Anolis sagrei: one gene and its partners. The protein of the gene in region 2 interacts with the protein of the main gene of each other region in a biochemical or structural test. Links are inferred from orthologs where the notes say so. Each region holds a gene or a part of one and is shown on either strand. Other genes may lie near its edges. The genes, in order: KCTD15, TFAP2A and CITED2.

Evidence for each region.
Region 1: the proteins of TFAP2A (region 2) and KCTD15 form a complex in vitro, tested with the Homo sapiens proteins (2 studies listed by BioGRID, with this or other methods). The link is inferred for Anolis sagrei from reciprocal best matches to the Homo sapiens genes TFAP2A and KCTD15.
Region 3: the proteins of TFAP2A (region 2) and CITED2 form a complex in vitro, tested with the Homo sapiens proteins (2 studies listed by BioGRID, with this or other methods). The link is inferred for Anolis sagrei from reciprocal best matches to the Homo sapiens genes TFAP2A and CITED2.

Annotation. Positions count from the first base shown.
Region 1 is NC_090028.1:2,917,832-2,929,056, forward strand, and holds the start of KCTD15 (BTB/POZ domain-containing protein KCTD15), read right to left. Parts: upstream 4,357-11,225; 5' UTR 4,028-4,356; coding exon 3,953-4,027; intron 3,939-3,952; exon of another isoform or gene 3,847-3,938; coding exon of another isoform or gene 3,820-3,846; intron 183-3,819; coding exon 4-182; intron 1-3. UniProt on the Homo sapiens protein: During embryonic development, it is involved in neural crest formation. Inhibits AP2 transcriptional activity by interaction with its activation domain.
Region 2 is NC_090024.1:83,532,727-83,543,198, reverse strand, and holds the start of TFAP2A (transcription factor AP-2-alpha), read right to left. Parts: upstream 5,121-10,472; 5' UTR 3,710-5,120; coding exon 3,326-3,709; intron 2,301-3,325; coding exon 2,274-2,300; intron 297-2,273; coding exon 1-296.
Region 3 is NC_090021.1:78,465,243-78,475,717, reverse strand, and holds CITED2 (cbp/p300-interacting transactivator 2), read right to left. Parts: upstream 4,866-10,475; 5' UTR 4,571-4,865; intron 3,910-4,570; 5' UTR 3,903-3,909; coding exon 3,183-3,902; 3' UTR 1,827-3,182; downstream 1-1,826. UniProt on the Homo sapiens protein: Transcriptional coactivator of the p300/CBP-mediated transcription complex. Acts as a bridge, linking TFAP2 transcription factors and the p300/CBP transcriptional coactivator complex in order to stimulate TFAP2-mediated transcriptional activation.

The DNA of each region.
Region 1 (11,225 bases), on a different chromosome or scaffold from region 2:
TACCTGGAGTCGGGGTACTTGGTGAGGGTGGCCAGGCTGCTGGTGTACATGTGTCCTCCTACGTCGATGTGGACGGGTGCATTGGACTTGGTGAGCTGCGCTGGCAGAGGGATCCCTTGAGCGGCCAGGGGCGAAACCGGGGAGCGCGTTAAGGACAGCCGGGACATTGCTCTTCCTTCCTCCTAAAGCCCCGGGAAGAGAGAACAAAAGGGAAGGGTGATTATTCCCGCGACCTATCCATCTCTCTCTCTCTCTATCTATCTATCTCCGCGTAGCCGCCCGCCTTCATTCCGGGGCGCGATCACAGCATCTCATCAGATCGCTTGTGCCTCTGCCTGATCGCATATTCCGCTTACAAATTGCCGCCACCTCCGTAATTAAGTGTGTTTGCATCGCCCTCTTCAAAGGACCGGCGGGCGAAGAAGGGGGGAAAAAAAGATGCTTATTAGCACCAAGACATCGAGAAGAAAAAGGAATCTTTTCCAAGGTGTCAGCCTCCAGGGGCTGAAAACAAACTGCAAAATTCTAATTAAAGGTCGCCGGCTCCTGCGCGAGATGTGAAATATCCCCCCGACAAACGGAGAGCCAATTTGCGAATTAGGGTTCGGGGGGTTATTTTTGCAAGTTTGTCTCCGTAACGAGACACCTCTAAATTAGTGACTTCCTCAGCTCCCCGGGCGCATCGTTGAGGCTCGAATCACGTTCAAACTCGGAACTATTTGGGTTGCTTTTGAAGGATAATAAAGGGATACCGATTACGTTATCAAATTCCCAACTTTCCGATCGAAAGCAAGCTTCGGACAAAAAAAAATACGACTATTTTTGATCCTTAGCGCACCGTTTCCAAGAGTTCTGTAACCTCGTTTCAAGTCACACAAACGCACACATAACCTCATGATAGCAAATACTTTCCTTGCATTTTAACGACATTGACAGCAAACATATCCAATACTGATTTCGACTGAAACGTATAACGTTTCGGATCAGCGCAAAGACAACACACCTTAAGCTGCAAAGGAACGAGAAAGATCAAGCGTTGCCTTCTGATGAATATGAATGTCGCTTCGCTCGGCACAAGACAACATCAGAATGAGACACAGGTGACTAATTGGATCTGTGACAAAGCCATACAAGCGACACAAAACACTCATTGCATTTACTTATTTCGGAGTATAAACAATACATGGTAAACAGCACAGCTAGGAAATGTTCTTAAGCCTCGTTTCGTTTTCTTGGGTTGTATTTACAATATTCTGCTAACCTTTTCCCACCTTTTGCCATTGATTGAAACATAACTTGGAAAACACCTGACCAAAACACAACCGACTCCCATTAGAAATCACCTGAGAAATCCTAAAATACATGGAAACGGGCGGAAGAGATCAGCAATCTGAAGACTTTGTCGCAACTGTGGCACCAAAACCAAGACTATTAACTATTTGCCTGATTGACTATTTGGTTGCCGTGGTCTTCAAAGATGTATCGCCCCCCAAATATATCTTTCTTCTCTCTCTTCTTGGTGCCCGAAATGGACTCGGAAATCAACCACCGGAGAGCGACGCTGATGCAAAACATCAGTCCAAGCGGAGAGGAGATCATCATCCACGTTTGGACATGAAGGAGAAGAAAGATTGGATTCCTGAAAAGGAGTAGCGAGAGATTTTCTCCCGGATACGGTGAGTCATCTTCGGCAAAGACGTCACGTCTCCCCACAAAAGCCAAAGAACTTGCTTTTTGACAAAATCAATGACAGATGATAGTTTTGCGGGTGCATCAAATACTACAGCTACAGATAGGCAGACACACAACCAACGTCCCCACCGGCACCAAAGATGTGCTCTTATTCGAATCTCTTTCTCCATCTCTCTATCTATCCATCTCTTTCTCAATCTCTCTATCCATCTCATCTCTCTATCCATATCTGTAACTCTCGCTATCCATCTCTCTATCTGTTTCTCTATCGATACCTCTATCTCTCTATTTCTCTATCCATTTCTCTCTCTATCCCTCTCTCTCTCTCTCTCTCTCTCTTTATTTCCCTATCCATATTTCTATCTCTCTATTTCTCTCTCTATCTCACTTATTGGGCACAAAAGATGCGCTCTTATTCGAATCTCTTTATCTGCCTCTCTTTCTATCCATCTCTTTATCCATCTTTCTATCTCTCTCTCTATCCATCTCATATCTCTATCCATATCTGTATCTCTCTCTCCATCTATCTCTCTAGCCATCTCTCTATTTCTCTATCCATCTCTCTCTCTATCCATATATGTATCTCTCTCTCTATCCATATCTGTATCTTTCTCTCTATCCATTTCATTTCTCTATCAATATCTGTATCTCTCTCTCTATTTCTCTATCCATATCCGTATCTCTCTCTCTATCCATCTCTGTATCCATCCATCTCTCTCTCTCCATATCTGTATCTCTCTCTATCCATCTCCCTCTCTGTCTCTCTATCCATATCTCTATCTATCCCTCTATCAATCTCTTTATTTCTCTGTCCATCTCTCTCTCTATCCATCTATTTCTCTATCCATCTCATCTCTCTATCCATATCTGTATCTCTCTCTCTATTCATCTATCTATCTATCTATCTATCTATCTATCTATCTATCTATCTCTCTATCCATCTCTCTATTTATCTATCCACCCCTCTCTATCCACATCTCTATCTATCTCTCTATCAATCTCTTTCTCTCCCTATCCATCTCTCTCTCTCTCTCTCTCTCTCTCTCTATCCATATCTGTATCTCTCTCTGTCTCACTATCTATCTCTCTATTTCTCTATCCATCTCTCTCTCCATCCATATCGGCATCTTTCTCTCTATCCATCTCTCCGTCTGTCTCTCTATCCACATCTCTATCTCTCTATCAATCTCTTTATTTCTCTATCCGTCTCTCTCTCTCTATCCATCTCTCTATCTATCTCTAGCCATGGATAATCTCATTTCTCTATCCATATCTGTATCTCTTTCTCTCTATCCATCTCTCTATCCATCTCTCTATCCATCTCTCTATCCATCTATCTGTCTGTCTGTCTCTCTATCCACATCTCTATCTATCCATCCATCCATCTATCTATCTGTCTCTCTATCCACATCTCTATCTCTCTATCAATCTCTTTATTTCTCTATCCGTCTCTCTCTCTATCCATCTCTCTATCCATCTCTCTATCCATCTCTCTATCCATCTCTCTATCTATCTCTCTATCTATCTCTCTATCTATCTATCTATCTATCTATCTATCTATCTATCTATCTATCTATCTATCTATCTGTCTCTCTATCCATCTCTCTATCTCTCTACCTGTCTGTCTATCCATATCTCTATCTGTCTGTCTCTCTATCTATATCTCTATCGCTGTATCCATCTCTCTATTTCTCTACCCACCTCTCTCTATCCATCTCTCTATCTCTCTATCAAACTCGCTCTCTCCCTATCCATCTCTCTATTTCTCTATCCATCTCTCTCTCCCTATCTATATGTCTCTCTATCTCCCTATCTCTCTCTCCATCTCTCTTATTTGGCACCAAATGCGCACTCTTATTCAAACTCCAAAAGGTAAACACTGCCTCTGCCTGCCTTGGTTCTGATCCAGTTTAACCCATCGTCCCCCAAAAACCAGAGAAAAGAGCTATTTCTGCAACAAAAGAGAGTCTGTTACAACGAATGAGACCCGAAACAGAGAAAACTAGCCACTGTATGTATCCGGCACAACAGACACATTCCCAAATGGGAGGGAAAGCACACTAAAGAGCGAAGGCACGCGAAGGAGCCTGGCAACGATCGTCGCAATCCATGCAAAGTTGTATCTACCATCCAAATGCTTCTCCTGCAGATCATCTTCCCTTTCCCGAATCGGTTTGAGTGAGGCAGGAGCCGCTCTGTGTTGGGTTTGGGTCTCCTGCCAGGCGCGAGGGAGGCGATGCCCAATCATAAGCACGCTTACTTGAAAGAAAGTCCATTGGCGCCCAATGGGGCTGGCTTCCAAGGCGTTGTTCGGCACCGGGCGGCAAGGCTTCATGCCTCACTCCGGATCATGTGCCTCTCTCTCTCTTCTCTCTCTCTCTCTCTATTAGAGCCCTCCTATTATACCTTTCCTTGGGCAGGACCGTCCCTCGCCTCCCACTCACTTCTCAGAGGCAGAGAACAATGGGGAAGAAGCCACGGCCCACCCAAACGGGGCAGATGTGGGTCGCAATCCAATGGGAGCCTGGAATGATGGGTGCAGATGGCACATGAACAAAGCCAAGCAAAACGGCACCGTTCCCGGGGTTTATTGTTATGTCGCCGGAGACGGAGACGGCACGCCGAACTGTCAACAGCCTTTTTACTGTCAAGACACTTGGAATGACTTTCCTTTCCCCTCCGGGACTACAAAGACCATAACACAACACTGGGATCAATCCCTAGACAGATAGATAGATGGTTGATTGGACTGACGATAGATAAACAGAGGATACATTGGTGATACTCAAAGCTAGATGCGATAGATAGATGGTTGATTGGGTTGATGATAGATAAACAGAGGATACATTGGTGATACTCAAAGCTTCTTTAAGGAAAGCACTAAAACAAATGTATTAAATTCTGTCTTGACTTAGAGATAGACTCATCAATAGATAGATATATAGATGTTAGAAAGATAAATGATAGAAACAGATATATACTTTGTATTGTCGAAGGCTTTCATGGCTGGAATCACTGGGTTGTTGTGAGTTTTCCTGGCTGTATGGCCATGTGCCAGAAGCATTTTCTCCTGACGTTTCGCCTGCATCTATGGCAGGTTGTTGTGAGTTTTCCTGGCTGTATGGCCATGTGCCAGAAGCATTTTCTCCTGACGTTTCGCCTGCATCTATGGCAGGTTGTTGTGAGTTTCCCTGGCTGTATGGCCATGTGCCAGAAGCATTTTCTCCTGACGTTTCGCCTGCATCTATGGCAGGTTGTTGTGAGTTTTCCTGGCTGTATGGCCATGTGCCAGAAGCATTTTCTCCTGACGTTTCGCCTGCATCTATGGCAGGTTGTTGTGAGTTTTCCTGGCTGTATGGCTATGTGCCAGAAGCATTTTCTCCTGACGTTTCGCCTGCATCTATGGCAGGTTGCTGTGAGTTTTCCTGGCTGTATGGCCATGTGCCAGAAGCATTTTCTCCTGACGTTTCGCCTGCATCTATGCAGGCGAAACGTGCAGGCGAAACGTTAAAACTCTCTTTAGACTTAGTGATAGATAGATAATAGATAGGTTATACTTGAAGCTTCTTTAAGGAATGCCCCAAACTAACATTTTTTCAAGTCTTGTTTTGAGTTAGAGCAAAATGTATATCAGAGAGATGAGAGGGGGGGGGGGGGCATGTGGATAGAGAGATACAGAGAGAGATAGAGAGATGGATAGAGAGATAGATAGACATGGATAAAGAGATACAGAGAGAGATAGAGAGATGGATAGAGAAACAGAGATAGAGAGACGAAGAGACAGATAGAGATAGAGAGATGGATAGAGAGATAGAGAAAGAGATAGATAGATAGATAGATAGATAGATAGATAGATAGATAGATAGACAAGAGAGATTGATAGAGCGATAGCTAGATAGCTAGAGAGAGATGGAGAGATGGATAGAGATAGAGACAGATAGAGAGATGGATAGAGAGAGGGGGGATGAATAGAAAGAGAGAGAGAGAGATGGATAGAGAGATAGAGACAGAGATATGAGAGTTCAATAGAGAGACAGATAGAGATAGAGATAGACAGATGGATAGAGAGATAGAGAGAGGTAGAGAGATGGATAGATAGAAAAACAGAGAGCTAGATAGAGAAACAAATACAGAGATATGAGAGCTAGATAGAGAGTGGATAGAGAGATACAGAGAGAGAGATGGATAGAGAGATGGATAGAGATAGAGACAGATAGAGAGATGGATAGAGAGAGGGGGGATGAATAGAAAGAGGGAGAGAGAGATGGAGAGAGAGGTAGAGACAGAGATATGAGAGTTCAATAGAGAGACAGATAGAGATAGAGATAGACAGATGGATAGAGAGATAGAGAGAGGTAGAGAGATGGATAGATAGAAAAACAGAGAGCTAGATAGAGAAACAAATACAGAGATATGAGAGCTAGATAGAGAGTGGATAGAGAGATACAGAGAGAGAGATGGATAGAGAGATGGATAGAGAGATAGATAGAGGTACAGAGAGATAGAGAGATGGATGGAGAGATAGAGGGATGGATAGAGATGGATGGAGAGATGGATAGAGATACTGAGAGATGGATAGAGATAGAGAGATGGATAGAGAAATAGAGAGATAGAGAGATGGATAGAGAGATGGATAGAGATACAGAGAGATAGAGAGATGGATAGAGATAAGAGAGATGGATAGAGATACAGAGAGATGGAGAGATGGATGGAGAGATGGATAGAGAGTAAGAGAGATGGATGGAGAAATGGATGGAGAGATGGATGGAGATACAGAGAGACAGAGATAGACAGAGAGGCAGATAGAGAGATAGAAAGATAGAGAGACAGAGAGATAAATAGAGAGATCGATAGAAAGATGGATAAAGAGAGAGGGAGGGAGAGACAGATAGACATCCAAGTTATACTTTAAGCTTCTCTAATGAAGGCACTAAAACAAAACATTATAAACTCTGTTTTGACTTAGTAATAGAGAGATGATACTTTAAGCTTCCATAAGGAATGCTCCGAAACAACACATTTAAATCTCTTGTTTTGACCTAAAGCTTCCCAAATGAGACTCCTTTTCAGTATTTTGAGGCCTTTCTCAGCAAAAGGGAGAAGGTGCATCATGGAAGCGCACTGACCCTATGTGCAGTCTGCCTACCTAAGAGTATTATGCACTATAAATGCAATGCTTTGGGGCCTTCCCTTGCCTGTCTCCCTTGGAATGAATGAATGAATGAATGAATGTGGGAAGGGACCTTCCTGCGGATGGACGGTGCCATAGGTCCGCCATGCCCATTGCCTTTGCATGTGTGTGCATAGACGCTGCCGCCTCTCATGCGCGCGCATGCCTCTTCCCACCAGGTGCCTTCGCACCATCCTTGCTGCCTTCCTCCGCTCGCTCCCTGCCTCAAACGGCTGCTTGTAAAAACTATTTGCCCATGGAAAGCGAATATCACCGCCATCCCATGCTCATTTACACACAAAATGGTTTTGTGTCCCATTGAGCTCGCAGTTGTTCAGCTCTCTAGGGGTGATTAAACCAGCTCCGCTTCTGCCTGAGATGAGTTTCACCCAATCTGAGCCGTTTGTTCCCTTTTGCAAAGTTGCTCCTTTGCAAAAAAAGCTGTTATTTTAACCATAAAAGGTAAACAGAAGGCGGTTGTGAGCGCGCCATTCAACTCCAAGGCCCTCGGGCGCATGCATGCCTCGAGGCAGGGAACGCTGAAAGACGGCGGCAGACATTTCCAGGGTGTTGCCTCTCCTTTTCCTCCCTTTCTTTCTCTCTCTGAAAGGATATCTTCCTATTCATACACACTCAGGGATGCGAGACATTGAAATCGGGCTTCAAAAGTTTGTTTTGCCGTTCAAGCAGCGCAATATGGGTCTACACTGACTACATAATGCAGTTCAATGCCATTCAAGCTGCGCAATATGGGTCTACACTGACTACATAATGCAGTTCAATACCATTCAAGCTGCGCAATATGGGTCTACACTGACTACATAATGCAGTTCAATGCCATTCAAGCTGCGCAATATGGGTCTACACTGACTACACTGGGGCTGGATGGAGGCGCTCCCCACATTTGCACATAGCTCAGGGCCATAGGAAGCCATGTTGCTGTACACACATGTTTGTGTGTATAGAGAAAAAGTTATATGGACAGAGTAGATCCATATTGCGCAGCTTGAACTGTACTATACTGCACCAAACTGCCTCTGCAATCAGGTAAGGGAGGAGAATAGGAGGCCAAAGGTGGGAGAAAAGCAAGAGAAGGGAAGACAAAAGATAGATAGAAAGAAGGAGGGAACGAAGAAGGAAGTGGGAGGGAGGGATGAAGGGGAGGCCAAGTTTAAATCAAAGCACTCCGGCACTTAAAACAGAAATACAGATGGGAAAGCAGGCTAATTAAGGATGTAAAAACCCAAACTTTTATGGTTGCCAGGATTTGGGGAGGGGAAATAATTGAAACTAATGCTGTTATTCACTGGCACAGTTTAATTCCTTCATGCCCATTTAAGACGAGAAATGGAAACGGCAGGGTGTTGTTGTTTTTTTTTTTGTTCCAAAGGGAAAATGTTGGTGCAAATCTATTCCTGCACATGCGTTCTGTTTCCCTGTGGCTACGGCTGGGTCTACGCTGCCAAAGAGTGCAGACTGAGCTGCATTTATAAGGTCGGTGTAGACCCAGGTCATGCAGTTCAAACTGTATGATATGGAACTACAATGGGCATATAATGCAGTTCAATGCTATTCAAGCTGCGCAATATGGGTCTACACTGACTATATAACACAGTTCAATGCCATTCAAGCTGCACAATATGAATCTACACTGACTACATAATGCAGTTCAATGCAATTCAAGCTGCGCAATATGGGTCTACACTGACTACATAATACAGTTCAATGCCATTCAAGCTGCGCAATATGGGTCTACACTGACTATATAACACAGTTCAGTGCCTTTCAAGCTGCGCAATATGGGTCTACACTGAATATATAATGCAGTTCAATGCCATTCAAGCTGCGCAATATGGGTCTACACTGACTATATTATACAGTTCAATATTGTTCAAGCTGCATGACATGGACCTACAATAGTGCAGTATAGTGCAGTTCAAGCTGCGCATTATGGGTCTACACGGGATATATATTGAAGTTTAAGATGCACAATATGGGTCTACACTGACTACATAATGCAGTTCAATGCCATTCAAGATGCGCAATATGGGTCTACACTGACTATATTATACAGTTCAATGCCATTCAACCTGCGCAATATGGGTCTACACTGACTATATAATGCAGTTCAATGCCATTCAAGCTGCGCAAAATGGAACTACACTGACTATATAATACAGTTCAATGCCATTCAAGCTGTGCAATATGGATCTACACTGACTATATAATGCAGTTCAATGTTGTTGAAGCTGCATGGCATGCTATTCAAGCTGCATGATATGGATCTACAACAGAGCAGTATACTGCAGTTCAAGCTGCGCAATATGGATCTACACTGGACACTGGACATATAATGCAGTTTAAGATACACAATATGGGTCTACACTGACTGTATAATGCAGTTCAATGTCGTTCAAGCTGCCCGGCATGCCATTCAAGCTGCATGATATGGATCTACAACAGTGCAATTTATTGCATTACAAGCTGCGCAATATGGATCTACAATGGACATATAATTCAGTTTAAGATGCATAATATGGGTCTACACTGACTATATATATGTAGTTCAATGCAATTCAAGCTGCATGATATGGATCGACAATGGGCATATCGCACAGTTCAAGCTGCGCAATATGGATCTACATTGTCCATATAATGTAGTTTAGGATGCACAATACGGGTCTTCGCAAACTATATAATGCAGTTCAATGAAGTTCAGGCTACATTGAAGGGGCCTACATTGCAATTCAAACTGCATCATGTGGATTCACAATGGGTATATAATGAAGTTCAGTGCAGTTCAAGCTGCGCAGTATGGATCTACACTGGGCATATGTAATGGAGTCCAAACTGCATGATATGAGTCTACACTGACTATATAATGCAGTTCAATGCAGTTCACGCTGCATGGTATGGGTCTAAACTGACCATATATATAATGCAATTCAAGCTGCATGATATGGATCTACAATGACCATATAATGTTCAGTGCAGTTCAAGCTGTGCAATATGGATGTACATTGGGCATATAATACAGTTCAATGTAGTTCAAACCGCATGATATGGGTCTATACTGACCATATAATGCAGTTTAAGGTGCACATTAAGGGGCTACATTGACTATATAATGCAGTTCAAGCTGCATGGCATGGGTCTACGCTGACTATTTGCATTTGCATATATATAGTGCAATTCAAGCTGCATGATATGGATCCACAATAACCATATAATGGAGTTGAGTGCAGTTCAAAGTGAGCAATATGGATCTACATTGGGCATATAATGTAGTTCAGACTGCATGATATTGGTCTACACTGACCATATAATGCAGTTCAATACAAGTCAAGCTGCATGATATGGATCAGCATTGACGATATAATGCAGTTCAAACTGCGCAATATGGATCTACATTGGGCATATAATGTAGTTCAGACTGCATGACATGGGTCTACACTGACCATATAATGCAATTCAATACAAGTCAAGCTGCATAATATGGATCAACATTGACTATATAATGCAGTTCAAGCTGCGCAGTGTGGATCTACACTGGGCATACAATGCAGTTCAACACATTTGAAGCTGCATGATATGGATCAACTCTGACTATATAATGCAGTTCAATATAATTCAAGCTGCGCATCACGGATCTAAACTGACTCAGTTCAAGCTGCGCAATATGGATCTACATTGGGCATATAATGCAGTTCAACACATTTCAAGCTGCATGATATGGATCAACTCTGACTATATAATGCAGTTCAATATAATTCAAGCTGCGCATCACGGATCTAAACTGACTCAGTTCAAGCTGCGCAATATGGATCTACATTGGGCATATAATGCAGTTCAAGTTGCAGGATATGTTTCCACACTGACTATATAATGCAGTTTGAACTGCATGATGTGGATCTACACTGGGCATATAATGCAGTTCAGTTTGCACAATATGAGTCTACACTGACCATATAACTCAGTTCAAGCCCTGGAGAAAAACTGAATGTCACTGGCGTTGACAATGTTTGGCTTTCAAAACCAAAACAATGTTGGGCCTTTGCAAAACCCACTAATAGACGTGTATAGAAAGTGCAAAGAATCCCATAATCCACCAGTCGTCCTCCAAGAAAGAACAGAGTGAGAAAAACAGAGAAAGGAGGGGAATACACGTGGTTGGAAGAAGCTCCCAAAGTCAACCTTGCTATGTTCAACAGAACCAAAGCATATGAGTTTCATACAGGATGGAAATACGCAAAGGAAGGAAGGAAGTTTCCTATCAGATGCTTCATGCTGTTCTGAGTTCTCATCCTAAAAGCTCCTTTCAAGCTTCTTCCCAGGTAAAAGGATGAAAGAGGATGAAAGAAGG
Region 2 (10,472 bases):
AGGCCGCGGTGGGAGTGGAGGAGGCCGGCCTCCTGGTTCTGCCTCTGCCCGGGCCAGCCCGGGTGCTGGGGCTGGGGCTGGGCGTGCAGCGGGTTCAGGCTGTAGGGGTCGCTGACGTGGGCGTAGGGGTCCTGGGACTGCGGGTAGATGGGCTGGTAGGGCGGGGGGAAGTAGGGGGGCTGGAAGTCGGCGTTGGGGGTGTGCGAGAGCGGAGGGGCGCTGCTGTAGGGCGACTGGCCCACCGAGCCCAGCTGCGGCAAGCGGCCCGTCCCGTTGCTGGCCCCGTCGTGGCGGTCCTGGGCAAGGAGACAGGCAATGGGGAGAGGAGAGAAGGGGAGACAGAGACGGAGGTCACAATCAGGCGGGCAGGCTTGCAGATCCCCAACAAAACCACCCTCCAAACACTCCCTCATATAACCCAGACTCCTCACAACAAACCCAGCCCAGATCACTGCCAAACAAAACAAATATCCAAACAAAAAGCAGTTCTGGAGCTTTCAGAGCTCCTGAATGCCATCTGCATCTTTCCAGTGCATCTGTATTAATTATAAGAACAGTGAATCTGTATCAATAACAATGAATGGCAGTCGAGGGGACAAGAAGGTCCATCCACTGGGATTAGAATAGAGGGTGATTCCTTCCTTCCTTCCTTCCTTCCTTCCTTCCTTCCTTCCTTCCTTCCTTCCTTCCTTCCTTCCTTCCTTCCTTCCTTCCTTCCTGGGGAAGGTCACTGATTGTTTTCGTTTGATGAGAAAATGGAAAAAAAATAAAATCACACCTCTCTCTCTCCTGTGTGTGTCTTGAAACGTTGTGGCATCTTTTGCACCCCAAAAACGAAGCGAAAGAGACCAAGCTTTGTAATTGTTCGTTTTTTCCTAAGCCAAAAATTCATATGAATGTGTGTGTATACGCACGCACATACATACACAAAACCACATTTCAGTAGTCTCTTTTTGAGAAAATTGCATATATGTGTGTGAGTGAATTTTATATATGTGTGTGTATGTGAGTTATATATTTTTATGTGTGTGTGTATATGTGTGTGTGTTATACACACACAGAGAGAGAGACACGAATGCCAATTTCTCAAAAATAGACGATTGAAATGCGAGCCAAATCCGGTTTTGTATTTGCAAGAGGAGGAAGAGAGTTGTGAGAAGGACAAGCCGTCAACATGCGTTGTTGGTTGCAACTGTATTCTAATAATATTATTCTAATAATAATAATACACAGCCTGTGCTGATAGATTAGTACAGAACTCTCTAAACAAAGATGACATAGATATATTTCTGAACACACAAAATGATTAAATATTTTTTGGGGGAAAGCAATGACAAAAAGATAAAACAGAAACAGAGGAAAAGCGGGCCGGGAAAAGAAGAGGGAAGCAAATGTAAATGACTTTTGCAATGGGTGCAATTGGGACTTCGGTGGTTATGAGATTATAGCCCACAGGTATGTCTAAAGCCAATTAACAGCCATACAAATGCAAGGTGGGGGATGGGGCCGAGTTGGGTTGGGGAGAATATATATGTGTGTGTCCCCAACCTAACTTCCCTCCTATGGAAGTTGAAGACCTTTCACTCTGTGTGTGTGTATATATATATATATATATATATTCTCCCCAACCCAACTTCCATCTTCCATCTGTATATATATATATAGATGGAAGATGGAAGTTGAAGTGGAAGTGGAAGTTGAAGACCTTTCACTATATATATATGTGTGTGTATATGTGTGTGTATGGAAGATGGAAGTTGAAGACCTTTCTATATATGTGTGTGTATATATATATATATTCTCCCCAACCCAATTTCCATCTTCCATATATATATACATATGGAAGATGGAAGTTGAACACCTTTCATTATATATATATATATATATATATATATATATATATATATATATATATATATATATATATAGTGTGTGTATGCTAAAAGGTCTTCAGCTTCCATCTCCCAAGAAGCAGAAAAGAACTGTAGAGGGAGAGCGGGGACGATAACAACGAAAGCAAAAAAAAAAAAAAAGGGGGGGGGGAGGAAAAACAATGGAAGGGAGTGGAAGCCCTTTGTGGCGACCTGGGCGCAGCCGCAGGGCTCCTCAAAGAAGTGGGGTGTTGCTTTGAAAGCGAAAGGCTAGGAAGCCAGGTCTGGGTGGGATGCGGGAGAGGAAGGAAGCCAGGCAGGGTCGGGGGTCTCAGCGCGGTTTCGCCCTCCTCCTCCTCCTCCAGCCCCAGCCCCGAAGAAGAGAAATCTGGATCCACTCACCATCGCCGAGAAACTGTGAACTAACATCTGCGAGGTTTGCGGGGCGACGGAGTCAAGGCAGGAGGAGAAAAAAAGGCAGAGAAAAAAAGTATGGCTCTTTGCTCTGGAGCGCGCTCTCTCGCTTCCTCGTCTCCCCTTCCTTCCTTCCTTCCTTGCTCTTCCTGTCCTAAGCTGCCGCTTTCCCAGCTTCTTTCTCTCTCTCTCTCTTTCCTTCTCTTTCCCTCTTTCGCATCCACACTCACACAATGGGAAGAGAAGCCTAGACTGCCCCCAACCCCAGTCCCCAGCGCCCAAGCTGCCGCTCCGCCCGAGCCGGGAACCGCAGGCGAAGAGAAGCCATCCGAACTGGACCCCAAACGCAGCAGCTCGAGGCGAGAGGAAGCAAAGTTGAGCGTGTGAAAGAGAGAGAGGAGAGAGAGGAGAGAGAGAGAGGGTGCGTGTGGGCGAGAGCGCATGTGTGTGCGCCCCCTCCCTCTTCCCTCTGCCCTCCCCTCCTTTGACTTCACGTGAGAGAGAGAGAAAGAGGCAGAGAGAGAGAGAGAGAGAGAGAGAGAGAGAGGAGAAAAATCCGCCGCTTGCTTTTCTCCCTAATAGCGAGAGTCCCTAATAGCAGATATTCATGACTATTAATATTACACGAAGACTTAATAAGGGAAGAATAGCTGGAAATCGAGCGTGAAGCGAGGCGGCGACTCAAGGCAGAGTCTGTTCTAAATGACGTCCATTGAAGGGAAGGATCAGGGGATCTAATCAGGGAGGGAGGGAGGGAGGGGGAAAGGAGGGAGGGAGGGAGACACAAAAAGGAGGAGGGGGAGAGAGAGAGGGAGAAAGAGAGAGAGGCGTCTGACGAATCACAGGGAAGGGGCCACATTTTAAAAGGTTCCAAAGCCTGGGAAGAGAAAGAGAAAGGAGCCAGGGAGGCAGAGAGTGGAGAAGGCCGGAGAGGGAGAGAAAAAGAAGGGAAGGAGGAGGAAGAAAAGGGGGGAAAGAGTGGATAGAAGGGGGAAAGGAGAGCCCAGAGCCGAGGGAAGGGGTTTGAGCCCAGGGCACACCTGGGGCGGCGGGGCGAAGGCGGAGAAGCTGCCCTCCGGGGCCTCCTCCTCCTCCCCCACCTCCTCCTCCTCCTCTTCGTCGTGGCCCACGCTCCTCCCCGGCTCTTTCTCGGGGCCCGTCTGCTCCGTGGCGGGGGCCTCCGTGGCGGCCTCCATGGCGCAAGGGCCCCCTCTCTCTCCCGGCTGGATCCCCGTCGCGGCCCCGCCGAGCTGCCTCTCCCCGGTTTCGGGTTCGGGGGGAGAGAGGTAGGAAGGGAAAGGAAGGCAGGAAGGAAGGAAGGGAAAGGAAGGGGTGGCGACTGCTGCTCTGCCGGCCCGGACAAGCTCAAGCTCCCAGCTCCTCAACCCGTCCGACTGGCTCGGCAACTCCTCTGCCGCCGCCATAGGCGCCCTGCTCCCCTTTTCCTCCCTACCGCCTCTGCAGAGCTCGCAAGCACAACCTCTCCCCCACCCGCCCCATCCACATTGCCCGTTTAACGCAGTTTCGACGCCGAACTCCCACCAAAGGCGCAAAAAAGAAGAAAAAGCGCCCTTCACGCGCGTGCACCAGCTCTCTGCGGTTGTGGCCTCACCAGCCAAGCCTCTAAGGCCCCGTCCACACAGCCCTATATCCCAGAATATCAAGGCAGAAAACCCCCACAATATCTGCTTTGAACAGGGTTATTTGTGAACCCTTCCACACAGACCTATATCCCAGAACATCAAGGCAGGAAACCCCACAATATCTGCTTGGAACTGGGTTATCTGTGGGCCCTTCCACACAGCCCTATATCCCAGAATATCAAGGCAGAAAACCCCCACAATATCTGCTTTGAACAGGGTTATTTGTGAACCCTTCCACACAGACCTATATCCCAGAACATCAAGGCAGGAAACCCCACAATATCTGCTTGGAACTGGGTTATCTGTGGGCCCTTCCACACAGCCCTATATCTCAGAATATCAAGGCAGAAAATCCCACATTATCTGAATTTGGACTCAGATAACCCAGTTCAAAGCAAATATTGTGGGATTTTCCTGCCTTGATATTCTGGGAAATAGGGCTGTGTGGAAGGGGCCCCAGCCTCTCCCCCACCGATCCCATCTACATTAGCCATTTAACGCAGTTCCGAAGTCGAACTCTCACCAAAGGCACACACAAAAAAAAAAAAAAAAACACACGTTCACGCACGTGCACCAACCCTCTGCGGTTTTGGCCTCACCATCCAGGCCTCTAAGGACCCTTCCGCACACCCATATAACCCGGAATATCAAGGCAGAAAGCCCCTACTTTGAATTGGGTTATCTGAGTCCATACTGCCGGTTCAAAGCAGATAATGTGGGATTTTATTCAGCTGTGTGGAAAGGGCCTGAGTACATAACCATCTGTCCAACTAAAGTCCTTTCTCCAGTCAAGGTCTGAAACGGTTTTCCATGGTTGGTGTAGATGTGCTCCCCCAAGAGCGCCACCTCGTCAGCCTGAGGCTTTCCCTGCCCTCCCTTTCCTTCTGGTTGAACCTGCATTGCCCTACATCCCAGTATCTGGTCCCAGATTTCTCTGATTTGAACTGGATTATAGAGTCTACAGACCCCCCCCCCCGCACAGTGGGTTAAAGCTGCTGAACTTGCTGACCGAAAGGTCGGAGGTTCCAATCGGGGAGTGGGTGAGCTCCTACTGTTAGCCCCAGCTTCTGCCAACCTAGCAATTCGAAAACATGCAGTCATGACTTTGGAGGTGTCTCTAAACCCTTCGGCTTAGAAATGGAGTTGAGTACCAACTCAAAGAGTCCAACAAGACTAGACTTGTGCGGCAGGACTGCTGAGGACAGGTCAGCAGTTCGAATCCGGGGGAGAGCGGGTTAAGCTCCAGCTCCCCATGCGGGGACATGAGAGAAGCCTCCCACGAGGATGGTAACCTAGACGGCCAATTCTCTCACCCCAGAAGCCACTTGCAGTTTCTCAAGTCACGCCTGACGTGAAAAACATTTATATGAATCTACACTGCCAGATAATCTGGGATAAGCAGATAATCTGGGATCAAATCCTGGGATATAGGGCAGTGGACCTTTCCCCGTGGACCTCTCTGAGATAAGCGTCCACGCCTGAGTATATTTCCTTCACCTGACAGAAATGGGGTTGGACTGGATGGCTTTTGGAAGTCTCTTCTCACTCTAACCGGTGTCAGTTTCCCAAGATTAAGTTCCTAGCACCGCGACCGAGCTGTAGCTGTTTGTTTACCGTCAAAAGGCGAAGCAAAACAAGCAACGAAGACGGAGACACAGCCAAAGCGATGGGCAAGACAAGTTTCAAAGAATGGCTCTGCCACCTGCCACCCCCCACCCCCCAAAAAAAGATTGTAGGAAGGGGAAGAGTAGAGGAGGAGAGCGCAGGAGGACCCCACTTTCCCGTTTCTTGCCATTAAGGGGTACTTTCCACCTGCAAGCTCCCAAATTTCCCCGCTTCTGACAGTCTCGCCCTTCCGAAAGAGTTGTAAATCTCAATGCTAGCCCATGCTGGGCTTTTTAAATCCTCTACTGGGGTTGCAAACAAAGGACCACAACACCAGAATGTGAAGGAGACAGAAAAACCGGTTTAAAATGGTCCTGACTGCAATCTACTTAGGAGGAGGAGGGTTGCAAAGCGCGCAATGGGGTCGCCAACACTTGTGAGTTTGGCTTCTTTCCAGAGCAGCCTTCATTTCCCGTTGGGGATCCATGGCATCCTTCTGTTCATACTCAACGCCTCTGCCCGCCTACACGAGTCATCCAGTATCTTAGGTGAGCCCCCAGTGGCGCAGTGGGTTAAACCCCCGTGCTGGCAGGACTGAAGACCGACAAGTCGCAGGTTGGAATCCGGGGGAGAGCGCGGATGAGCTCCCTCTGTCAGCTCCAGCTTCTCACCCGAGGACATGAGAGAAGCCTTCCACAAGGATGATAAAACATCAAAACATCCGGGCGTCCCCTGGGCAACGTCCTTGCAGACGGCCAATTCTCTCATTCCAGAAGTGACTTGCAGTTTCTCAAGTCGCTCCTGACACCACCCAAAAAAAGGTGAGTCCTCTACTATTAGGGCATCCTGGATAGAAAATAGTCAGGGAGGGGACCCGAAAGAGCGAAAGAGCATCTGCAGCGCTGTGCGGCAAAGGTACCCATTACCCCCATGGTGCAGTGGGTTAAAGACCGACAGGTCAGGTCGTAGGTTGGAATCAGGGGAGAGCGCGGATGAGCTCCCTCTGTCAGCTCCAGCTTCCCATGCTCGGACATGAGAGAAGCCTCCCACAAGGATGATAAAACATCAAAAACATTCCCTGGGCAACGTCCCTGCGGACGGCCAATTCTCTCACTCCAGAAGCGACTTGCAGTTTCTCAAGTCGCTCCTGACACACACAAAAAACCAGTTTCTGTGCCAAATCGGAGTTTCCTGCCATCGAGGAACCGCTTTCCTCCAAACCCCGAGTAAAGCAGGGCGCAAAACAGACTCGGAGTTGGCAAACTACTCCGGAAGCCACTCCTTGAACCTTTTCTTTATCTTTTTGGTGCCCTGCTGCTGCTGCCACCGTCGGGGCGAGGGAAGACTCGTCTCGAGGTCTTGGGGATCCCTCTACCGGCGCCAGGCTGCTTCGTTTCCTTTCCTCCTTCCTTCCCTCCCTCCCCGATACCATCCGTCCATCCATCCATCATTCAGCCCATCTTCTTCCATGTCCTTCTCCGCCCCTCTCGCCTCCTCAGCCCCCCAACTGTGGACCTTCCCTCCCTTTGAAGAGCCCCCTCGCCTTGCAGCGTCCAGACCCAAAAAAGAGGGGAGAAGTCAAGTCACCTCGCTCCAAACTTGCCCTGAGCTCCTTCCTTCCTTCCTTGTTGTTGTTGTTGGGGAGAGGGGGAAAGGGATCAGGAAGCAGGGACTCGGGGATCCCCTGATGTGAGGGGAAAGCGCTTACCTCGCATTCCTCATACTTGATATTATCCGTCAGTTTCCAAAGCATTTTCATGGATTGGCGAGGCGAGAGACAAGCGAGAGAGAGAGGGGGGAGAAAGGAAGAGAGAGAGAGAAAGAAAAAAAAGAGAGAGAGGGGAGGCTGTGATGCCCTGCCTGCCTGCCTTGGCGCTCTCCTCTGGCATGCAGAGCGCGCCCGCTGCTGGGCTTGAGAAGAGGAGGAGGAGGGGAGGAGGAAGAAGAAGAGGAAGAGGAGGAGGAGGCGATCCGCTGTGCCCGCTCGCAGATCTCCCTCTAATGGTCGAAACTTTCCCCCCTCTCCCTTTCCCTGAGCCAGTCTTCTCCCAACGCAGCCGCCTCGCCTCATTAGCATAGCAGGCGCAGCCCAGTTGCGCCGCGCGCGCCAAGACCGGGCGCGCGCGCGGCCAGGAGCTCCCCAGGAGCCCCCCCCGATTGGATTCGCTTGGCCCCCTCCTTTGCAAAAGCAACAGAAAGGTGCCCCCCCCCTCTCCTCCAGAATGAAAGAGGGAGGCTTAGGGGAGGAGGCCCAAATGGTTTCCTTTTTAAAGGATCCTCTCCATTCTTCTCTCTCTCACTCCTTTTCCCTCTTGTACCTGTGATCCCCAGTTGTCTCCTTCTGCAAACACACCGAAATCAAAGCCAGGCCCAGCAGGGGCAATGGTTGCTCCTATTAGGAAAATGCCCATCCATTGCAGAACTGGGTTGTTGTGAGTTTTCCGGGCTGTATGGCTATGTGCCAGAAGCATTCTGCCCTGACGTTTCGCCCACATCTATAGCAAGCATCCTCAGAGGTTGTGAGGTATATATTCTCAAAGACTTTCATGGCCAGAAACACAAGGTTATTGTGAGTTTCCCGGGCTGTATGGCTATACTCCAGAAGCATTCTCTCCTAATGTTTTGCTTGCATCTATGGCAGGCATCCTCAGAGGTTGTGAGGTCTGTTAGAAACTAGGAAAATGGGGTTTATGTATCTCTGGAATGTCCAGGGTGGGAGAAAGAACTCTTGTCTGTTCGAGGTAGGTGTGAATGTTTCAATTGGGCACGTTGATTAGCATTTAATGGCCTAGCAGTTTCAAGGTCTGGCTTCTTACTGCCGGGGGAATCCTATGTTGGGAGGTGTAAACAATCAGGGCCTGCTAATCGGTTTTCCGGGCGGTATGGCCGTGTTCAGAAGCATTCTCCTCTGACGTTTCGCCCACATCTATAGCAAGCATCCTCAAAGGCTGTGAGGTACTGTATATATTCTCAAAGGCTTTCATGGCCAGAAACACAGGGTTGTTGTGAGTTTTCCGGGCTGTGTGACCATGTGCCAGAAGCATTCTCCCCTGACGTTTCGCCCACATCTATGGCAAGCATCCTCAGAGGTTGTGAAGTACTGTATATATTCTCAAAGATTTTCATGGCCAGAAACACAGGGTTGTTGTGAGTTTTCCGGGCTGTATGGCCATGTGCTAGAAGCATTCTCTCCTGACCTTTTGCCCACACCTATGGCAGGCATCCTCAGAGGTTGTGAGGTTTGTATTGTGGAAGGCTTTCACGGCCAGAATCACTGGGTTGCTGTGAGTTTTCTTGGCTGTTCCAGAAGCACTAGGAAACCAGTGTTTGAACCCCCTGCTCAGTCTTGGGAACCAACTCTCTCAGCCTCAGCCCCACACCCTTAGTCTATTGTCCTTTTTGAACAAAAGGTAATAGCTTGGCCATGTTCCAGAAGCATTCTCTCCTGATGTTTCGCAAGCATCCTCAGAGGTTGTGAGGTATGTATTCTCAAAGGCTTTCATGGCTGGCAATACAGGGTTGTTGTGAGTTTTTCTGGGCTGTATGGCCTTGTGCCAGAAGCATTCTCTCCTGATCTTTTGCCTCCATCTATGGCAAGCATCCTCAGAGGTTTTGAGGTATATATTGTGGAAGGCTTTCACGGCAAGAATTACTGGGTTGTTGTGAGTTTTCCGAGCCATGTGCCAGAAGCATTTTCTCCTGACCTTTCACCTGCATTTATGGCAGGCATCTTCGGTATATTATTTGATAACACAGAAATGCTGGACCACTCTGGCAACCACCATGTCAGACTCCACAGAGAAGCCGTTGAAATCCACACGCACATGAACAACTTCAACAGAAAGGAGACCATGAAAATGAAAAAAAATATTTTTGTCTCTTTGTAGCAATTCTAAAAACTCTAAAATCAGGACAGTAAATAAAGGACAGCACTCTGAAAACAGGGGGAAACAGTCAATCTGCATTCTGAAGCTGCATTATAATGCATCGTAGATCCAGCCTGAGTTCCATGCGTGGAAAGTCTGGCACCTAAATCAGCCTGTAGAGGACTTGAAAGGCTGGCTCTCCTCTGATTTAAGAACCCTGCCTCGCTGATCAATGTCTAGACAAGAGATTTTTCTCTTTTCTTGATTTCCCATTTTTTCTGGTACTTTGCAACAACCAGCCCCCCACAATGGCGAACTTTTAAAGTCAGGACGCCACAAAACCCGTGGTGTTCGGAAAGGAAGCGACCCTGGCGACAATAAAGTGTTGAATGGATTGTCGAAGGCTTTCATGGCCGGCCTCACAACCTCTGAAGATGCCTGCCATAGATGCAGGCGAAACGTCAGGAGAGAATGCTTCTGGAACATGGCCATACAGCCCGGAAAGCTTACAACAACCCAATGAAGTGTTGATTTGTCGCTTGTTTGCTTGTGTTGGGTTTCATCCCTGGACTGCACAAGTCTCTTGTGTCATCAAGCTTCCAGACCTCAACGAGGAGCTAGACTAGAGATTGAGGTGTTGTTCTGAGAATGCACCCCAAGAATGCACCCCAAGAATCCCCCAAGTTATGGGATGGTAGCCGGGAGAAATGGGCTGCCATCCGAGTAAATGGCATCTGAAATGAATTCTACTCCACTTATGGCATTTAAATATCAGAGGGCTTAGCATTAATGCCGATAGGGATTGAATGACAGAAATCTGTGAAATCCAGGTTTAAACCATAGGCTCAGAAGCCATTATCCCATACCGACTTTTTTCAGAGACCTCGACTATAGTGCTCACTGAGCATAGGCAGAGTCGTTTTCCATCTAGGTATCACAGAATCATAAGAGTTAGAAGAGATGGCAAGCACCCTCCAGTCCAGCCTCATTCTCCCAGGCAGGAAGATATCATCAAAGCCCTCCCGACAGATGGCCATCCAGCCTCTGCCTCAAAACCTGCAGAGAAGGAGACT
Region 3 (10,475 bases), on a different chromosome or scaffold from region 2:
TAATTGTGTCCAACTCTGAGGGGTGGTGCTCATCTCCATTTCTAAGCTGAAGAGCTGGCATTGTCTGTAGACACCTCCAAGGTCATGTGTCCAGCATGACTGCATGGAGCAGAAGCGGTACCTCTTGCTCTACTCACATTTACACATTTTCAAACTGCTAGATTGGCAGAAGCTGTGGCTAACAGCAGGAGCTCACCCCTCTCCCCAGATTTGAACTGCCAACCCTTCAGTCAGCAAGTTCAGCAGATCAGTGGTTTAACCCGCTGCACCAAATATCTAATAGTTATTTACAGAACTATAGTCTGTCAGCCATCTTTGGGCACACAGAGCTTCATAGGACAAACATTTCTAACTATCCTGGTCAAAACTTGACCTCTGACTAGCAAAGATGAACACTACTGAATCAGTCTTAAAATAAATGGGCCCAAGATTTTAACAAAGCCATACTTGTATTCCTGTGCATACTATATGATATTCTACAAGAATATTACATGGAAAGGTAAGTTAGGCTGTTAAAAGCATATGCAATTAGTGTGCAGAACTGAGCATGTACAGCTCAAATATTGATGATTGCTTATACCAATATCCATGCCCTTGCCAGCTCCACATTCCTTTTGCTTTGTGGATGTACACTTAGTAATTATTTGAACTACTTCTAATGTTATGCAGCCTGAAGATCTGAGTTTTCTTCTCCAAGGGAGATGTTTATTACTTCATCCACTCCTCCCTGTAGTAATTTATCCCAACGCTATGGCATCTCTGATTAGAATAAATGGTCCTAGATATCATAGATTAGCCCAACCACAACATGAAAATGGGAGAAATAGAAGCCAGGAGAGTAGAGCATTTTGAAGTTGCTACAGTATTGATTTGAGAAAGTTACTTTAAATGTCTCAATCAGCTCACCTTTTCCAATTTGATATAAACTGATTTGAGAAAGTTACTTTAAATGTCTCAACCAGCAAACCTTTTCCATTTTGATATAATCTCCCAATAAAACATGAACAAGTCTTGTATTTCTATTATGTTTTCCCAGGAGGAGGCGGTGTCAAAAAAAGGGCTACTTCTAATTATCTACCACAAAATTAAAGAGACACGAATATAGATGGGGAGAGAGATGTCATTTGATCAGATTCAGGTATCTGATCTTTACTCGTGTTAGTATTTGAGTAACACTACTTCACTCCAATGATAGCAAGATCAAATAAACCAAGCTCCTGCTATAATATAAATATTTTCCCACTTTCCCATGCCAAAAAGATGAATGTTATCCATTTTCAGAATCAGCACTCACATCCTAAACTATAAAACTGGTTCAACTTTGCCAAACAAAATGTTTTCCACCAACACCAGAGTTCAGCTTCCCAACTCTCTGCTCCCATCTGTCCTGTGGATTTCAATTCTGTACAATTCCCCATCTATATTTGTGTCTCTTCAATTGCTAAGCTCCTTTTTATGATGTATACAAGAAACAAACGGGGATACAAATTCTGCAGTGGGTTGTTGTAGGTTTTTTCGGGCTGTATGGCCATGGTCTAGAGGCATTCTTTCCTGACATTTCGCCTGCATCTATGGCAAGCATCCTCAGAGGTAGTGAGGTCTCACTACCTCTGAGGATGCTTGCCATAGATGCAGGCGAAACGTCAGGAGAGAATATCTCTAGACCATGACCATACAGCCCGTAAAAACCTACAACAACCCAGTGATTCTGGCCATGAAAGCCTTCAACAATAAATTCTGCAGTGTTTTTGTGTTTACACAACCCGTCTAACAAGAAATACATGTACAGAACGAACCAACTCTTCCATAGATAAGATAAATGAGAGTATTTATAAAATTAAAGTTTAATAGATAAATAGAATAAATACTTTATGCATCATAATTCTGGACAACTACATTTAAAAGCAAGTAAGTTGTTGGCAAATCACAAAGTCGTTGCCTCTTGGCATTTCTCCACTTTTTGATAAAATCACACAGGCATGTTACAATGTTACTTATGAGACTGGGTGTCATAATTAGGCTTAAATCCTTTTTTACCTTCTGCACTGATTGTGACATAGAGCAAACAATGGTGCCAAGTAGATTTTCCTTCAGAAAGTTTCACACAACCCAACAGTTCAACAAGTCAAATGGGTTATATGGATTTAAAGATGTGTGTGGAAGGTGGGACGAGTGGGTGGGTGGGTGGGTGGGGGGAGAGACCAGGAAAAAAATCCAGGTAGTTGAGATCTAGTGGGTGGGGAAATAAAGATTTCTTAACTTTGTATTGATCTTGACAAATAAAAATAAAAATAAATTAACAATTATCTCCTAAAAAAATTGTACAAAAATACTGTCAAATTTCTAAAAAGCTTTCAACACAGTAATTTCTCCCCCGAATGCTAAAAATGTATGTAAGCACAATACCAGAAGAAAAATAATGAGGAAGAAAGGACCAGAATCAAAAGAAAATAAGAACCAGTGAAGTATTTTCCCAACAATCAAGAGACCATTTGAATCACACTATATTGTCTGTACAGATGGGGTGGAGGGGGGGGGGGGATTTCCAAGAACAGCAGAGTTTAAGTAACTATTATTTTTCCTAATCAGGAAAGGGTTTGGCCCACATTTGTTAAGCTTTCAGGTTAGCAGACTCAAAAATAAATTAGCATCACGGCAATGCATAGTTCAAAACAAAGCAAGAGGGCAGTATTTGTGCAGGAATCTACCCTGAAGTTCATGCAACCAACTAATGAAGCATTTTTGTCCTTTTTTTAAAACTCGGAATTTGACTGTAGTTCTAATCCTCTGAAATGATAGCCTACAGAAAATCCACAAGATTTAAGCATGTTGCCAATATATTATCTAATAATTGAAACTGTTGGTAAGTTCCCAGTGATGAAGAAAACGGATCACAGAAAGGGGAAGGAGGAGAAAAAAAAAAGGAAATTCTAGAGGCTCAATCAGTTTAAAGTATTCCTAGGGAAGGGAAGGAAGACATGGGTGTCAAAGTTTAAAAAAAATGTGACAGCAAATTAAAAAAGGGGGGAAATTATACGTTTTGTCATTTACTCTGCTTCCCAGGTGGTCAAGCTCCTAACAGCCTTTGAAATACTGTGTTCGAGAGAGGGAATGTTTTCATTCATACAGATTAAAAAAGTCCTTCTTTGTGTGTTCGGTTCCGCTTCCTTTCGCGCGAGAAGTCAGCAGCTCACTCGGCTGGATTGCTGTTTGCAAACAAAGTCTGTCATGAAATCAAACTCATTCTGTCCCAACCAGAGCTCCGGCAGCTCCTTGATACGATCCAAGCCCATTTCCACCACTAAGGACATAAGGACTTCCTCGTCTATGAAGTCAGTGTCTATGACATTGGGCGGCAGCATTGCTGCAGGGACGTGGGCCACGGAGGAGGGCACAGCGCCGCTGCTGGTGCTGCCGCTGGTGTTGCTGTGCTTCGGGTTGCAGTCCCTAAAATGCTGGTTAGCTCCGTTGAGCTGATGGCTGGCAGGGTGCATGTCCGGCATGTAGTGGTTGTGAGGGTAGGGGTGGTGGCTGAAGTACTGATTATTCAGCTTTTGCAACTGCATACTGGCCGTCAAGGGCCCAGCTTGGGGAGCCACCGTCGGAGCCATGAACTGAGTATTGCTAAACCTCGCCGTGGGGGGCATGGTGCCCGGCGGGTGCCCACCATTGACATTCCCGGGCCCCATGGTGTGCTGCCGGATCCCAGTGTTTGCACTCATATTCCCGCCACCGTAGTGTATGTGGTCGCTCATCAAGGCACTGAAGGCATGCTGCTGCTGCTGCTGATGGTGGTGGGTCGGGAACTGGCCCATGCCCATTCGATGCGCCGGGTGGTGATGCATCCCATTGGTCCCGTCGGGGAAGCGCCCGTGATTCATGGCCATCATGTGGTCTGCCATTGCCAGCCTTTCAAAGTTAATGTTTACAGAGAGAGAGAGGAGAGAAAGAGATAAACAGTTTTGCCACCAGCGGCCAAAGAGCCCCAGAGTCTCCGAAGAAGGCGGTCTAAGGCAGCCCTGCAAGCACGCCACCCACATCCACCCACCCTTCCCCTCTGCGTGATGTTTTGGACATGGATAAAGCAGGCTGGAGCTTTCTTTCTTCAGGCTGTGCAAGGCAAAGGGGAAGGAAAGCGCCAGCACACACCCCTCGGAGCCCAAACCACCCTGCAACCCGGCCCACGTCCACCCTACACACCCCCTTTTCCTCCCAACCCTCCCCTTGGCGTTGGCGAGGCGGATCCATTCAAAAGACATTCTCTGAAGGATGTCATCACACAACCTTGCATAAGAAGTCCAGATGCCACCACCAGCCTGGCCGACCTTCTCGCTTTCCTTCCCCTTGTCAACAACTTTGGGAATTAGCAAGGATTGCTCGGGAGAGGAGCCTAAGTGGATTAGAAGGGGGTCTGGCTGCAAACCCTCCGCTGACCCCCAGCCCTTCTCCTTCCCCCTCGCCCGCCCTCCCTCCCTCCCTCCAAGGGGCCTCTCCGGCAACGCGGCCGGGAAAAGGGCACCTTTCCCTTCCTCTTCCCCTTCCTCCTCCCTCGCCAGGCAAACGCACTCACCTCGCGCCCTCTCTTTCTTCTTTTCCTCCGAACCGATCCCGCAGGGGAAGGGGAAAGGGAGGGAGAAAAAAGCCCACTCAGCAAAGCTCTCCCAGCATAGAGGAAACTCTTCCCCTTCGCCTCTTCTTTGCACAGGCTAGGACGGCGCAAAAAGAAAAAAAATCAGCAATAATACACAAGATTGCAATTCCAACTGCTGCTGCTGCTGCTGCTGCTCCCACCGCGCAGCCCGATGCTGCCAGCCGTAGCTTTCCACTCCTCGCCAACAATGCGCTGTGTTCCTTCCCCTGCTTTGGCCGAGGCTAATATAGGCTTTCCAAAGGGAGGAGCGAAAGCCCGAAGAGGCGAAGCAGAAGGAAAACCCGGAGCGAGCCGCGAGGACGAGCAGCCCCCGCGGAACGGGAAGGCCACCGAGCCAGAAAGCGGCGGGGAGAGGGCGCCGACGCCAGCGGGTTTGGGCACAGAGGGCAGCCAGGAAGTGGGTCTCCTTCCACCCAAGGTCCCAGCACCCACAGCCACCTTGACAACATGGGAGAGGAGGTCTAAGGGGGGGGGGGGGGGGAGGAGAAACCCCTGACCGGCTCGCCAAGCTTTGGAGGGAATTGGCCATCGAAATGGACACAATCTGGCTGCCAGTATTAAAGAACTCTAAAATCAGGACAGTCAATAAAGAGCAACACTAACCCCACCCCCCCAAACACAAGGGAATTCCAGACAGGAAACAGTCAGGGCCAGCTAACATCTCCCAACAAAGGATTCCTCCAGGGCGGCAGCAATCAGCTAAGCATTGAAGCTTCAAGGCTATTACATGCTAATCAAGGTGGCCAATTGCAACATTCACACTTGCCTCAAGCAGACAAGACTTCTCTCTCCCACCCTGGACATTATTCCACGGATATATAACCCTCACTTGCTTAGGTTGCTGTGAGTTTTCCGGGCTGTATGGCCATGTTCCAGAAGCATTCTCTCTTGACGTTTCGCCTGCATCTATATTAGGCACCCTCAGAGCTTGTGAGGACCTCACAACCTCTGAGGATGCCTGCCATAGATGCAGGCGAAACGACAGGAGAGAATGCTTCTGGAACATGGCCATACAGCCTGGAAAACTCACAGAACCCAGTGATTCCGGCCATGAAAGCCTTCGACAGTGTCCTCACAACCTCTGAGGATGCTTGCCATAGATGCAGGCGAAACGTTAGGAGAGAATGCTCCTGGAACATGGCCATACAGCCTGGAAAACTCACAGAACCCAGTGATTCCGGCTATGAAAGCCTTCGACAATACATCTCACTTGCTTAGTTCCCACAGACCTCACAACCTCTGGAGATGCCTGCCATAGATGAGGGAGAAACGTCAGGAGAGAGTGCTTCTGGAACATAGAAAACTCCAGCAACCCAGTAATTCACCAAGGTTTGGAAGAGTTTTGGGGGAGAAACGTCAGGAGAGAATGCTTCTGGAACATGGAAAACGCACAATAACCCTGCGATTGCGACCATGGAAGCCTTCGACAATACATCTCACTTGCTAAGTTCCCACAGACCTCATAAATTCTAGGGATGCCTGCCATAGATGTGGGCGGAACGTCAGGAAAGAATGCTTCTGGAACATGGAAAACTCACAGCAACCCAGTAATTCACCAAAGTTTGGAAGAGTTTTGGGGTACGCTTTCTAGCCCCTCCGCCCCTCCTTATGTAGGGATTGCCACCATTTCTCTTTGGGTATGAAAGACACACAAGCTAACACACCAGATGGTCGCCCAGTTCTTCCCCCTCGGAGGAAAGAGCGAGAGAGGCTTGCTGTAAAGCAGCCTGAGAGCATGATGCTGGGGTGTGTTTTGCTGCCCCCCCCTCCTCCTCCTCCTCCTGCACAATGGCAATGGGGACCCTTGGAGGGAGAGCGCCAAGGCGCACCAAGCAAGCACCCATGTTTTCCAATCCCCGGAGGTGTTTGTACACACACAAGAGAGCCTTAACCTATGCCATTTGGACCTGCATGATATACAGGCAGCGTAATGCCGATGCCACAGCATTCTAGGGCAGAGTAGATCCAGTCCTTGTTGCGCGCCGCTCAGAGATCCAAGCCACGCTTTCCGGGTGGCGTGGAGAGTTTGCGCTCACCTCTCCGGGTAAGCTTTGGCACTCGAAAAGAGGCGTCTCTTTGCTAGGCAAACAAACTCCGCCAGCCTCGCTCCAAAGATCCTCGCTCTCCCTTCCCCCCCGTTTAATAAACAGCCCCCCTCCCCTCCCCTCCCAGTGCGTGCGTGTGCGTGCCGTGTGGACATTTGCCCTTGCTGGGCCTGGGGAGGGCAAAGGCAAAGGCAAAGGCAGCCCTGGCAGCAGCAGAGCAGCCCGCCTTTCCCTTTCCGCAGCGAGGGGGAGGCCAGGGCCTTCTGCAAGCCCACGGTCCGACCCCGAGGCTTGCCAAGAGAGGGCGAGGAAAGGCAGGGCGGCAATGGCTGGCTCAGCAAAGCGCCTCCAGGCCCCGCTTGGGTTTGGCCCCGGCGATGAAAGGGTCAATGCAACTGATAATGCAACAAGGAAGCCGGAAAGGCGCCTCCCTGGGAGCTGCCAGGCGCGCCCATCCCCTCCTCTCGCGCCAAGAGGACACCCAGGGCATCTGCACTCTGGAATTGAGGCAGTCTGGCACGACTTTTTAAAACTCCCATGGCTGTGGAATCCTGGGAGGTGTAGTTTGGTGAGGAGCTTACACTCAGGCAGAGAAGGCGAAAGACCTTGTAGAACTATAACCTCAAGAGTTCCATGGCATTGAGCCATAGCATTGGGTCACACTACATTTATTCTAGGGTAGATCAGGCATGGGCCAACTTGGGCCCTCCAGATATTTTGGACTTCAACTCCTACCATTTCTAACAGCCTCAGTCCCTTTTCTTTCTCTTTCCTGCTTAAGCGACTGAGGGGGAAAAGGAAGGGGCCTGAGGCTCTTAGGAATGGTGGGAGTTGAAGTCCAAAACTCCTGGAGGGCCCAAGTTGACCCATGCCTGATGTAGATGCACTCACAGTGGCAGGAAAGCTGAATCCTAACACGCTGAACCCTACACATGACAAAAAAAAAAAAAAAAAAAAAGAAAAGGCCAGGGCCCACTTTACCAAGGCCCACTTTGACCAGGGCCCACTTGACCAAGGCCCAATTTGACCAGGGCCCACTTGACCAAGACCCACTTTGACCAAGACCCACCTTGACCAGGGCCCACTTGATCAAGGCCCACTTTGACCAGGGCCCACTTGACCAAGACCCACTTTGACCAAGACCCACTTTGACCAGGGCCCACTTGATCAAGGCCTACTTTGACCAGGGCCCACTTGACCAAGACCCACTTTGATCAGGGCCCCTTTGATCAGGGTCCACTTGATCAATGCCCACTTTGACCAGGGCCCACTTGACCAAGACCCACATTGACCAAGACCCACTTTGACCAGGGCCCATTTTGACCTGGGCCCACATGACCAGGGCCCACTATGACCAGGGCCCACTTTGACCAAGACCCACTTTGACCAGGGTCCACTTGACCAGGGTCCACTTTGACCAGAGCCCACTTTGACCAGAGCCAACTTTACCAGGGCCCACTTTGACCAGGGCCCACTTTGATCAGGGCCCACTATGATCAGGCCCACTTGACCATGGCCTACTTTGACCAGGGCCTGTTTTGACCTGGGCCCACATGTTCCGGGCCCACTTGACCAAGACCCACTATGACCAAGGCCCACTATGACCTGGGCCCATTTTGACCAAGGCCCACTATGACCTGGGCCCACTTTGACCAAGGCCCACTTTGACCAAGACCCACTTTGACCAGGGCCCACTTGACCAGGGTCCACTTTGACCAGAGCCTACTTTGACCAGGGCCCATTTTGACCAGGGCTCACATGGCCAGGGCCTATTTGATCAAGGCCCACTTTGACCAGTGCCCACTTGACTAGGGCCCATTTGAACAGGGACCACTTGGCCAGGGACCACTTTGACCAGGGACCATTCTCTAACATTAGTACCAATAAAAGAGGAAGGAGGTTTGTGGTCCAGAGTTTTGTTCTTGCAGTCCATTGCTGGGCCGCAGCCCACATGTTGAGAACCACTGCCTTTGACAGTGAAGTAAAATCTTTTAAATCACTCCCAGCTCCCTTTTCCTTCTTGTTCTCCATCTATATGCCAGTTTTGTTTAGCATCATTGGCATTGGGGGAATGGTGGGGAGTTGGAGAAACACAGTGGTTTCGTGTCAGGTTTAAGCAACAAGTCTGTAGTGAACAGCACAATAAACCAAGGGAAGGAATGGGGTTTTATTTTCATTGATATTATTGTGTGCCTGACTACAACAGGTTAAACAGCAGCTGCCCCTAAAATCCCTTACTGAACCTGTAAAGAAAGAGAGTAAGGAAAAACAGATAAGCCTGCCTCAACAGTTTTTCCAAGCATATTAAATAAACATCCATAAATTTGACCTCGAAAAAGGAAATCATAAGAAAAGTGGAAAAAGAAAAAGCCATCCCTGGGTGCCTTTTAAAATAAGCCTTCAAGTGAATCTCTGAAGGTTAAAATGTTTTTGTTTACTTACACAAATCTTTCTTGACTTGATTGTTTCATTTCACAAGTACATGCTGTTAGGATAAAAAGTTTGCCTAAATCTGTTGGATTGATCTTCCATTTTGTGGTATAAAAACCTAGCCCTGTTCTTTCCATGTTGATTCTGGTACCACATTTTCTGCTAAAGAAGGAATGTCAAGGAACATTTTAAAATTTATAAACTGGGAGTGGCAACTCAAAACTTTTCACTAACCTTCTTTAAAAAGTTAACTAGGTAAAGATAAAGGTTTCCCCCTTACATTAAGTCCAGTCGTGTCCAACTCTGGAGGTTGGTGCTCATCTCCATTTCTAAGCCGAAGTGCCGGCATTGTCCATAGACACCTCCAAGGCCATGTGGCCGGCATAACTGCATGGAGCACAGTTACCTTCCCGCCAGAGTGGTACCTATTGATCTCACATTTGTATGTTTTTGAACTGCTAAGTTGGCAGAAGCTGAGGCTAACAGTGGGAGCTCACACCACTCCCTGGATTCAACCTGCAATCTTTCAGTCAACAAGTTCAGAAGCTCAGCAGTTTAACACACTGCACCACCAGGGGCTCCAAAAAGCTAACTATTACACATCTATTTGTCTTTTTCACACCTTTTATTTCCTTCTGCTTGTACTGATAACAGCAAAAGATGTGGTTGTTCATTCTTAGTGTCCTGTCCATCATACGTCGTTGGTTGTAAGCCACCTTGTGTCCTGTGTGGGGAGAAAGATGAGAATGTTAAAGAAATCCAGCTGGCCTTCTTCGTTTGTGAGTTTAACTTTTGTGGATTTGATTATTCATGGATATGATTAATATGTTCTGTTTTGGAATCTCTTAAGTCCTCCAGCTGAACGTTATGGTCAACTTTAGGTGGAAATAGACCATAAAGTTGGACTATGTGAAAGTTAGTGGGTTTTTAATTTGCAGCTTTCCCACTTTTAGGGGTCCTGTGCCCCTAAACCCAGCGAATGCAGAGGGCCATTTGTAAACAATTCATTGGTAGGTCAAACTTCCCAGATAGATACCCTGCTGGTTCCTCCTAGGTCAGTAGCATGTGAATCTGCTTAGAGTTTCAGCCAGAACTCTGAAGGAGTTATCCAAGGTGCTGACTCTATTTTGATTATACGTTCAGCACTTTAAGCAATTCTAAGTAAACACTAGAATTCCAAACATGGGGAATTCACCAGTCACTGATAAGGAGCCTCCAGTGGTGCAAAGGGTTAAACTCTTGTGCTGGCAGGACTGCTGACTGAAAGGTTGGCTATTCGAATTAGGGGAGTGGCATGAGCTCTCGTCTGTCAGCTCCAGCTTCTAATGGGAGGCATGAGAGAAGACTCC